Linked DNA regions of Cricetulus griseus. The main gene of each other region encodes a partner of the protein of the gene in region 2 in a complex. Links are inferred from orthologs where the notes say so. Each region holds a gene or a part of one and is shown on either strand. Other genes may lie near its edges.

The links. The genes of interacting proteins can lie anywhere in the genome.
Region 1: Lamtor1 (region 2) and Lamtor2 share a complex: the UniProt entries of both Homo sapiens proteins name them as parts of the ragulator complex. The link is inferred for Cricetulus griseus from reciprocal best matches to the Homo sapiens genes LAMTOR1 and LAMTOR2.

What each region holds. Positions count from the first base shown.
Region 1 is NW_023276806.1:65,955,404-65,960,007, reverse strand, and holds Lamtor2 (ragulator complex protein LAMTOR2), read right to left. Parts: upstream 3,264-4,604; 5' UTR 3,171-3,263; coding exon 3,103-3,170; intron 2,802-3,102; coding exon 2,639-2,801; intron 825-2,638; coding exon 735-824; intron 494-734; coding exon 437-493; 3' UTR 297-436; downstream 1-296. Other genes in the region: Ubqln4 (ubiquilin-4), read left to right, coding at 4,117-4,224. UniProt on the Homo sapiens protein: As part of the Ragulator complex it is involved in amino acid sensing and activation of mTORC1, a signaling complex promoting cell growth in response to growth factors, energy levels, and amino acids.
Region 2 is NC_048596.1:97,475,840-97,480,482, forward strand, and holds the start of Lamtor1 (ragulator complex protein LAMTOR1), read right to left. Parts: upstream 3,278-4,643; 5' UTR 3,162-3,277; coding exon 3,120-3,161; intron 1-3,119. UniProt on the Homo sapiens protein: Key component of the Ragulator complex, a multiprotein complex involved in amino acid sensing and activation of mTORC1, a signaling complex promoting cell growth in response to growth factors, energy levels, and amino acids.

The sequences.
Region 1 (4,604 bases), on a different chromosome or scaffold from region 2:
ATGCAGATCTCTGAGTATAAGGCCAACCTGGTCTACAGAGCTGGTTCTAGGACAGCCAAAGCAACACAAGGAAATCCTGTCGTGGGTGGGAGAAGGAGAAAAATCAGTTCTGAGTGGTTGGAGTGAGAAGCCCAGCACTGGAGAAGTCAACTACACTGGGTAGCCCTGCCAAGAACTGCTGGGAGATTTGGTGATGGGAGATGAGGGAACCCACCTTTGCAGAGGATGAATCCCTTAAATAATTTACTCACTCCTTCCCATGGCCTGAGTTCTTCCATCCAAGAAAGCAGTTAGACACAAGGCAAGAGTTGAAATTTATTTGTAAAAAAGCTAAAGCCAGAGTCCCACCTTCCTGTAACCAGTCCAGTAAGGTGTCTCTAGGGCCCTGATCCTCCCATCCACCATCCGTCCTCTGACTCCAGCTTCCATCACTCTATTATGATGCTGCTACTTGGGTGAGGGGCTCCTCCAGGTACTGCACCAAGGCCTGGGCCTGCAAGGAGGGAAAAGCACATGTCAGTCCATGCATGGCCTATGCTTAGAGGTATCCCAAATTGGCTCCCTGCCCCACAATGAGCATCAACCAGACCCCAGCCCACCCCCACTGCTCTTCAGCCCATTTCAGACACGGACTAGATATGAGAATTTCAGAAAGGGGTACATGTAGGGAATGGACACAGTGAAGAGGGACTATGGCTGGGCCCAGGAAGGTTGTAACATAGGAATGTACTCACTTTGGCCTTCAGCATTCCGAAGCCTACAGTCTCCTTGGCATACATACATAGCAGAAGGTTGGCCACCCGAGTAATGGCTACACGGCCCTCCTAGTGGGGATGATACATTGAGGCATTCTGCTTGGCATCCTTAGTTCCTACCTTCCCCAGGGCTCCTCTGATCCTAGAGATATTGTCTTCAAGCCTGGCTGGGCGGGAAACTCATCTAGGAAGCTTTGCCCAGCTCTTAATACATAAGGGCCTGACACTGCCTCAGCACAGGCAATTCCTAATCAAGTTATTCTGGGAAACCAAGTCTCCCAGAAATGGGTTTTCTTCTCTAATGCCAAGAATTGTCTCAACAAGTGAGGTACCAGGAACAATAACCCAATTTGTTTGTTGCTCTTGCAGAGGACTTGGATTCAATTCCCAACACCTATATTGTGCATCCAGTTCAGGGGATCCAAAGCCTTCTTTTAGCCTCCTTGGGGGTACCATGCATGCACATGGTACACATATATAACACCTGGGAAAAACTCTCATAAAGGGGTGCTGGGAAAATGGCTCAGCGGTTAAGGGCACTGACTGCTCTTCCAGAGGACCCTGGTTCAATTCCCAGTACCCACATGACAGCTCACAGCTATCTGTAACTAACTCCAGTTCCTGGGGACCCCAACACCAATGAACATAAAATAAAAATTAATTAAAAAAAGAGAAGAAAAAAAAAAACAAAAAAAACAAAAAAAACAAAAAACCTCTCATACAGGGCTGGAGAGATGGCTCAGTGGTAAGAGCACTGCCTGGTCTTCCAAAGGTGAACTCCCAGCAACTACATGGTGTCTCACAACCACCTGTAATGAGATCTGGTGCCCTCTTCTGTCCTTCAGGGATACATGCAGAGAGAACACTGTATACATAATAAATACTTATTTTTAAAAAAAACCCTCTTGCCAGGCGGTGGTGGCGCACGCCTTTAGTCCCAGCACTCGGGAGGCAGAGGCAGGTGGATCTCTGTGAGTTCGAGACCAGCCTGGTCTACAAGAGCTAGTTCCAGGACAGCTCCAAAGCCACAGAGAAACCCTGTCTCGAAAAACCAAAAAAAAAAAAAAAAAAAAAAGACAGACTTCACATTGCAGCAAGAAAAGTGATGTTTCCTGAAACTTGTTTTAGGTGTGTGTATCAATGTGTATATTAGGCTTTGACTCAAAAACAAAAATTGTCTGAGAATGGATCTAGGACCCCAAAGAGCTCCACTACTGAGCTCCATCCTAAGTTCTTTAAAATACTCTTATTATGGCAGGGCTGTAGTGAATGTCTTTGGAGCTTTAGCTCTAGATTCAGCCCCCAGCAGGAGTCAGCAATGGTTAGGAGTGGTGTAAAGGGCTGCCTGAATAACAACGAAGAGCTTTCTGAGGGGCATTTGCCCTTAGGTGAACTGCTTCGGATCTGCATGCCATCACTGTCCAGGGTGCTAGGAACCAGGCATGCCTCTTTAGCTCTATCTCCTCATTCTGTGGTACACCATCCTTACTGATGGAGTATCCATTTGTCCAAGCATCACTCTACCCTAAGGCCTTTGCAATTGCTTTTCTGTCGGAAATACTTGCAGAGATCCACCTGCCTGCCTCAGTCTCTCAAGTGCTGGGACTAGAGGCATAAACCATGTCCCATACTGTCAAAAATATTTTTCCAACAGATCGCTGCATGGCTGATTCCCTTCCCTCTCCAATCTTCCTCCAATCTTTTAGGAAATGTCACCCTTTCATCTATCTGAACCCTACTCTCACTTTTTCTTTCTTCCTTCTTTAATATCTACGTATTACTTATTTGGCAAGGTACAGGGGTGCACACTTGCAATCTTAGTATTCGGGAGACTGAGGAAAGATGATCACTGCAGTTCGAGGTCAGCCTACTTTACTCCATACCATGCAGTCCATGAGGATAAATTTGAGATTGTCTTCATTAAATGCTTGGTTCCCGTTCCGGTCGTAGGCAGCCCAGATGTTACTGGCGATGGCCGCGGTGACCCGGGCATCTGTGTCCCCATAACCGGAGTAGGCCAGCAAGGATCCCTCGTTATTCAGCAGCCTGGCGAGGATGGAGAAGGATTATCGACAAACTCAGCAAGAGTGAAACGCCTGGGTTCCTATTCCAGTTCCCGCTACTGGCGCTTTTAGGAAGCCAGGATCTGCTAGGAATATATCCTGGAACATGCCCTACGCACTCGTCGACTTCCCTTTCCGAGGGGAGCCCTACGTAGGGTTCCCGAAACGGCCGCTCATACGACCAGCCTCCTCCCGGTGGAGGGCTACTTCCCTACCCCTGCTGCAGGCAGCCGCGCGCCGCCCCACTCCAGCGCTCGCCGCTCGGGTCCTTGTTGTGCACTCACAGGGTGCTTTGGACTCCCCCGGTGTTGGCTTGGCTTAGCACCTGCGTCAAAGCCTTGGGACGCAGCATGCCTGCGTCTCCTAACCCTGACCGGCACACACCCCGTCACCGCCGGCCGCAGCTCGCCAGCCGCTTCCGGTGGCCCAGAAGCCTACCTGCGAGGCGCCCTGGGAGTTGTAGTCTCCGGGCCTACCCACTGAGTCTCTGGCCCAATCCCCGCCCCGCGCGGGGGGTAGCTGGGAATTATAGTTTCTTGTGACCGCTCAAGGAATTCTGGGAACTATAGTTTGGCTTCCTCGCCAGACCATGAGGCGGGGAGGGGGGGTGGAGAGCGGGAGTGCAAGGACAGAGGCGACGTTGGAAGGACTTTTAACCCCTTGTACGAAAAGGGCGCCCTCGTGCCTACTAGTCAGCCCGCGATTCAATAATAATAAAGATCTGTGTTTGCTAGGCACACCCTTGGCCATTTTTCAAATCAGTATTGCACGATGGTCACAATTCTGTGCGGTACTGCAGTCTTGACACCCAAGGCTCAGAGAAGCCACGTAGGCAAACTCCAGGTCTCTGGATGTCCTCGATGGCCCCCTCGGGCCATAGCTATGCCTGCAGAGGTGTTAAGGGCGTCCAGATCCAGGAACGACCCCAGGCCTGGCAGAGATTCCGCCTCCTAAGAAAACCCAGTTACCCCAGGGAACAGAGATGAGGCGGCGACACAGAAAGTCCTTTGTCCCGATCGGGGGGGAGCCGCGGGCATCGCCGAGGCTCGGCGCCCGCTACGCCGCCCTCTGGGCTCCGGAGAAGCTTGCCCTGACCAGCTGCGAACCCCGCTCGGTCCTGGGCCGCCCCAGCTGCAGTGCCCCCCCGGGCCGCCCGGGGCGCTGTGGCTGCGGCTGTCCGGAGGGGGCGGCGGAGCCTTGGGGAGGGGCGGGAGGGGGAGTTGGAGGCGCCGGAGTCGAGCCGGGCCGGGCGGGCCGGGAGAGGAGCCGGGCGGGCTGGCGGGCGGCCGGGTGGCGGCATGGCGGAGCCGAGCGGGGCCGAGACGAGGCCCCAGATTCGGGTCACCGTCAAGACCCCCAAGGACAAGGAGGAGATCGTGATCTGCGATCGAGCCTCGGTCAAGGAGGTAGTACCGCTGGCGCTGGAGGGAGGAGGGCGGGAGCGGCGCACCGCGGGGTCAGCGCTGAGATGGAGACCTCGGGGACGGCCTGGCTGCGGGACGGGCCCCCGGCCGGGGCGGAGCCCACGGGGATCCGAGCTGCGCGAGGGCAGACGAGGCGGGTAGGGGGCGCCCTGCCTGGGCTAGTCCGGCGAGCGTGGTGCGACGGGTTTGGCCACGCTACCAGGGCTGGGGGCGTGGTGGGGGAGCTTGAGAAAGAGGCACCTGGCATGCGGGCGCCCCGAGGGTCCTCGGCTTGAGGGTAGAGTGCGCCACCGTTACTGGTGGAGGTTCCAGGCGCCGAGGCACAGTGTGGCCCGAGTGAGCTGTGGCTAAGCTCCCCCGGG
Region 2 (4,643 bases):
ATACAATATGAAGAAGGAGGAGAATGCTAGCCAATGCTGACCCATCAAATTTCAGGGGCCAACTGCCAATCTCAGTACTCTGCTCACAGCCTGTCTCAGTTCCTACCAGTTCCCTGCTGCAGGAGCCAGCTCCCTTGCCCACAACTCTCCTTACAGAGAGCTACTTCCTCCTGTCTTGCCTGCCCCACCCCAGACAGGCTCTGCCTTTCCACCTTGGTCTTCCTCCTCAGGCCATTTGACCCAGTTCACCCTGGCAAAAGGAAGCAGCTATGGCCTTCTGCCCCATTACCTCCAGGTTCCCAGACAACCTTTCTCCTTTCTCAGTATTAACAGGCTAGGAAGATAAAATGCTTGCCAAAGATGAAAGGATCTTTAAGAAAAGCTGGCTCACAATGAGACCCACAATGCTTTCTATGCCTGCTTTTCCCAGCCCCATTCCTATCTTCCTGCAGGACCCCAATCAGGGGTTCAAGAACAAGGTTGTCTTACGAATTTCCTGAAAGGCCAAGCAACTCCAAATAGCAGACAAACTGAGGCAAGAGTAGTGGTGCGCATCTTTAATCTCAGAACTCAGAAGGCAAAAAAGATCTCTGAATTAAAACCAGCCTGGTCTACATAGCAAGTTCCAGGCCAGTCAAGGCTACATAGACACCTGCCAGCAAAAAAAGTTAATGACATCACCTGATACCCAAACAATGAGTAGTACATGGGGTAAGTCTGTCATATCAAAGTTTGCCTCTGGGACTGGAGAGATGGCTCAGCAGTTTAAGAGCACCACCAGCTGCTCTTACAAAGGGTCTGCGTTCAATTCTCAGTACCCACATGGCAGCTCAACAACTGTCTGTAACTCCAGTTCCAGGGGATCTGACACCCTCACACAGACATGCAGGCAAAACACCAATGCACATAAAAAATAAATTATTTGCCGGGCAGTGGTGGCATACACCTTTAATCCCAGCACTCGGGAGGCAGAGGCAGGTGGATCTCTGTGAGTTTGAGACCAGCCTGGTCTACAAGAACTAGTTCCAGGACAGCCTCCAAAGCCACAGAGAAACCTTGTCTCAAAATAAATAAATAAATAAATAAATAAATAAATAATTTAAGAGAAAGTTTGCTTCCCAAGCCAATACAACCTGAGTCAAGATTTATCTACTTTAGCACAGACCCACAACTGACTACATCGGAGCTTCTCCCAGTACATAAAGCATATGTCTTGTGCTTGGAAACAACTTGGCTAGAGCACTTCTAATGTTTGCCAAATCTTAGATCCTCTGAACTTTTTCCTCAGCTTTAAACATATGTTAATTTATAACAGGTAAATGTAAAAACCCTCTGAAAACCATGTTTGTAAATTTCTCTTTTTCTTTGAAACACAGGCTCATTGTACACCTCAGAACTGGCCCCAAATTCACTATGTAGCCAGACTGGCCACAAACTTGGAAGCAGTTCTCCACTTCAGCTTTCATAAACTGTTGTGATTATAAATGTAAGCCAACAGGGATGGCTGGCTTTTTATAATAAAAGGACAGACAATAGTGAAAATAGGAGGGCCTACTTAAAGAGGAGGCTGGGGCTATGACCCTATTAGTACAGTACATGCCCAGCAAGCATAAAGTTCTGGCTTTGATTTCCACTACTACATACACTAGACATAGATGACACATAGATAATGCCTGTGATCCCAGCACTCAGGCAGAAGCAGGAAACTCAGAAGTTCAAGGTCATTAATTACATAGCAAGTTTGCCAATCTGGGCTACATAAGACCCTGTTTCGGCAAGAAATAAGAATCAAGGAGAAGGAGGAATTTCAGGAGAGAAGCAAGGCGAGCTCTCCCTCCTGGAAGTAGGTATCCTTTTCCCATACTAGACCACATGCTGTAAGAGACACTAGTTCCATTCCGATTCAACTCTGTCATTAGGCAGGAATAATGCCCTCTCCTTTTTATTTTTATTTTTTTGATGTTTTGTGGTGACTTCCTATTTTTTGCTGTTCTTTCTTTTAGCAGGCCAGAATGAAGGGAAAGATTCTTGCCACAAGGCATGTCAAACTCAGGTCAAATAATGTTTTTGAGAATCAGGAACCACTCAGCCTGCCATACAAATCACATTTTCCTGAACTGCAGTTCTTAACCCAAAGTACCTTCATAGGGAAAGAACAACTTTCCAGGTACAGTGATACTATTTATTTCCCTGACTGTATTCACTAGGCTGGGTGAAACTGTTCTTTGTGGCTCAGTGCCTACTGTGTGTAGAAAGCAGAACTTAGGCTTTGAGGTATGGCCAGTGGCCTGGGACCCAGCCTTGCAAGTTTCCCCTCCTCAAAAGTGGTCAGGGAGGGTAGGGGATGTGGTGTGGAAAGCAATAAGAATGCACCAAGGAGAAGTTGGAAAATTTAAAATGCAAAACACTGTAAGTCTCTCCAAGGAAATGTTTTCTCGAAAGGAATAACTCTACAGTCACATTTTTCAGGATGCACTCTAGTTAGAGGAACCTTCAGGCACAGTCAGGGAACAGCAAACCAAACCAAAATGAGCTTCCTATACCCTCTTTCCTCCATATCGGTCAAAGCTAAACTCTATTGCTCCCCTAAAGTTCTGATGTCCTCACTCAAATTCTTCACTGCCCAATTCAAATGCCACCAACTTCCAGAGGCCTCCGACACCAGGCCAGTAGTGACATTACACCTCTAACACCAGTAACAGAATATACACAAATTTCTGATTTACCTTGGGAGACTAAGAGCCTCAAATTACCTATCTCTAGAATGGGTTCGTAAAGTACACTTATACAATCAGCAGTGAAGGCAAAGGAATCTAGGAAAGCGATTGCTTCCCAGGCACCCAGTCTGAAGAGTCAAGCTGTGAAAGTACGAGGGTACTGGAAAAATGGAAGGGGAGGGGCCGAGTGAGGCGGCGGCCAGCGTAACCCCAGGCTGGAGTAAGACTAGGATCTTTAAGAGGGTAGGAACACGGCTTGGCGTCCTCTCCGTAATCTGTCCCCTCCAGGCCTCCGTACTCGGTGAGCCTGCAATCCAGCTCCCAGCCGCTGCGGGCTTTTTCTGGGCCCCGGGTCCCGCGGTCGTAGCCCACAGTCCCAAACCCCGCCTGCCGCGGCCGCACCTGGTCCGAGTCCTCGTTTTCGCTGCTATAGCAGCACCCCATGGCGGGGTCGGGCCGGGCGCTCAGGCGGCGCCGAGGAGGGACGGCGTCCGTCAGGAGTCTTTCCGGTCACATGACCCGCGGCGGCCTCCCGCTCCCTTCCCCCGCCTAGCCTGTCCCAAAGCCTCTCTGGCCCCACAGCCAAATCTCGGCTTCCGGTCCCGCCCCTCCGCGTGACCATCGCCAACCAATGGAAAAGCCCGACCTACGTGACAGGACGCGTGGCACGTGATCCGGGAGACGAGTCACATGATTTTGTTGTCCCAGTCTCTAGATCTGAATCCTTTGATCCTCTAGCCAAAGTGTGATCACATGGTGTCAAGGCCACCTTTGTGAACCCAAGATCTATCAAGATAAATTCTTCAGTGTCTCGCGAGGGGCGAGTAGCATGGTGGAGTTGAGTGGGATGTGCTTCACTTCGGGAGCTATTTGCGTGTGTGTGTGTGTGTGTGTGTGTGTGTGTGTGTGTGTGTGTGTGTGTGTGTGTGTGTGTGTGTGTGTGTGTGTGTGTGTGTGTGTGTGTGTGTGTGTGTGTGTGTGTGTGTGTGTGTGCTGTTTGTGTGTGTGTGTGTGTGTGTGTGTCCCCGAGAGACCGAGAAAGGTCTCACTATGTAACCTGGCTGGCCTGAAATTCGCTGTGTAGACCAGGCTAGCCTCGAATTTAGAGAGCCACTTGCCTCTGCCTTCCAAGTGCTAGGATTCAAGGCGTATTTCACTATGCCTGGCAAAACTACATTTTTATTTATTTTGAGTACGCATATGAGTGTGAACTCGTGTGTCATGGTGCACATGTGGAGGTCACAGAACAACTTGTGGAAGTTGGTTGTCTCCTTCCACTATATGGTTCGTAGGGATTGAAGTCAAGTTGTCAGGCTTTCTGGCAGCCGGCTTGTAGCCACTGAGCCATTTCTGTAAGTTCCTTATTTGGCAGTTTCTTGATTAAGGTGAATTCTGCCTTCGCAGGCAGATGGCACACACTCGTCCCTCCAAATCAGAGATTACAGTCTTCAAAGTCCAAATACAAACTTTATCTTCCTGTTTGCCTTTTCTGATCCTATTCCGATCCCCTCAATCTCTTCACTTAATTAAATTAGCAAATGTTGAGGCCAGAGATGACTCGGTTATTTGGAGCATTGGCTGCTGCTCCTTCAGAGGACCCCAGTTCAATTCCCAGCACCCATATGGTGGCTCACAATCATCTATAACTCCAGTTCCAGGATAAACGATGCAGACACATACACGGTGCACAGACACACAAGCAGACCAAAAACATGAATACATATATATTAAAAATAAACTTCAAGGGCTGGACAGATGGCTCATAGGTTAAGAGCACTGGCTGCTCTTCCAGAGGTCCTGAGTTCAATTCCCAGCAACCACATGGGACTCACAACCATCTATAATGAGATCTGGTGCCCTCTTCCGATGTGCAGGCAGAACACTGTAGAAATATATAAATACTTTTTTAAAAAAAGAAACAACAAA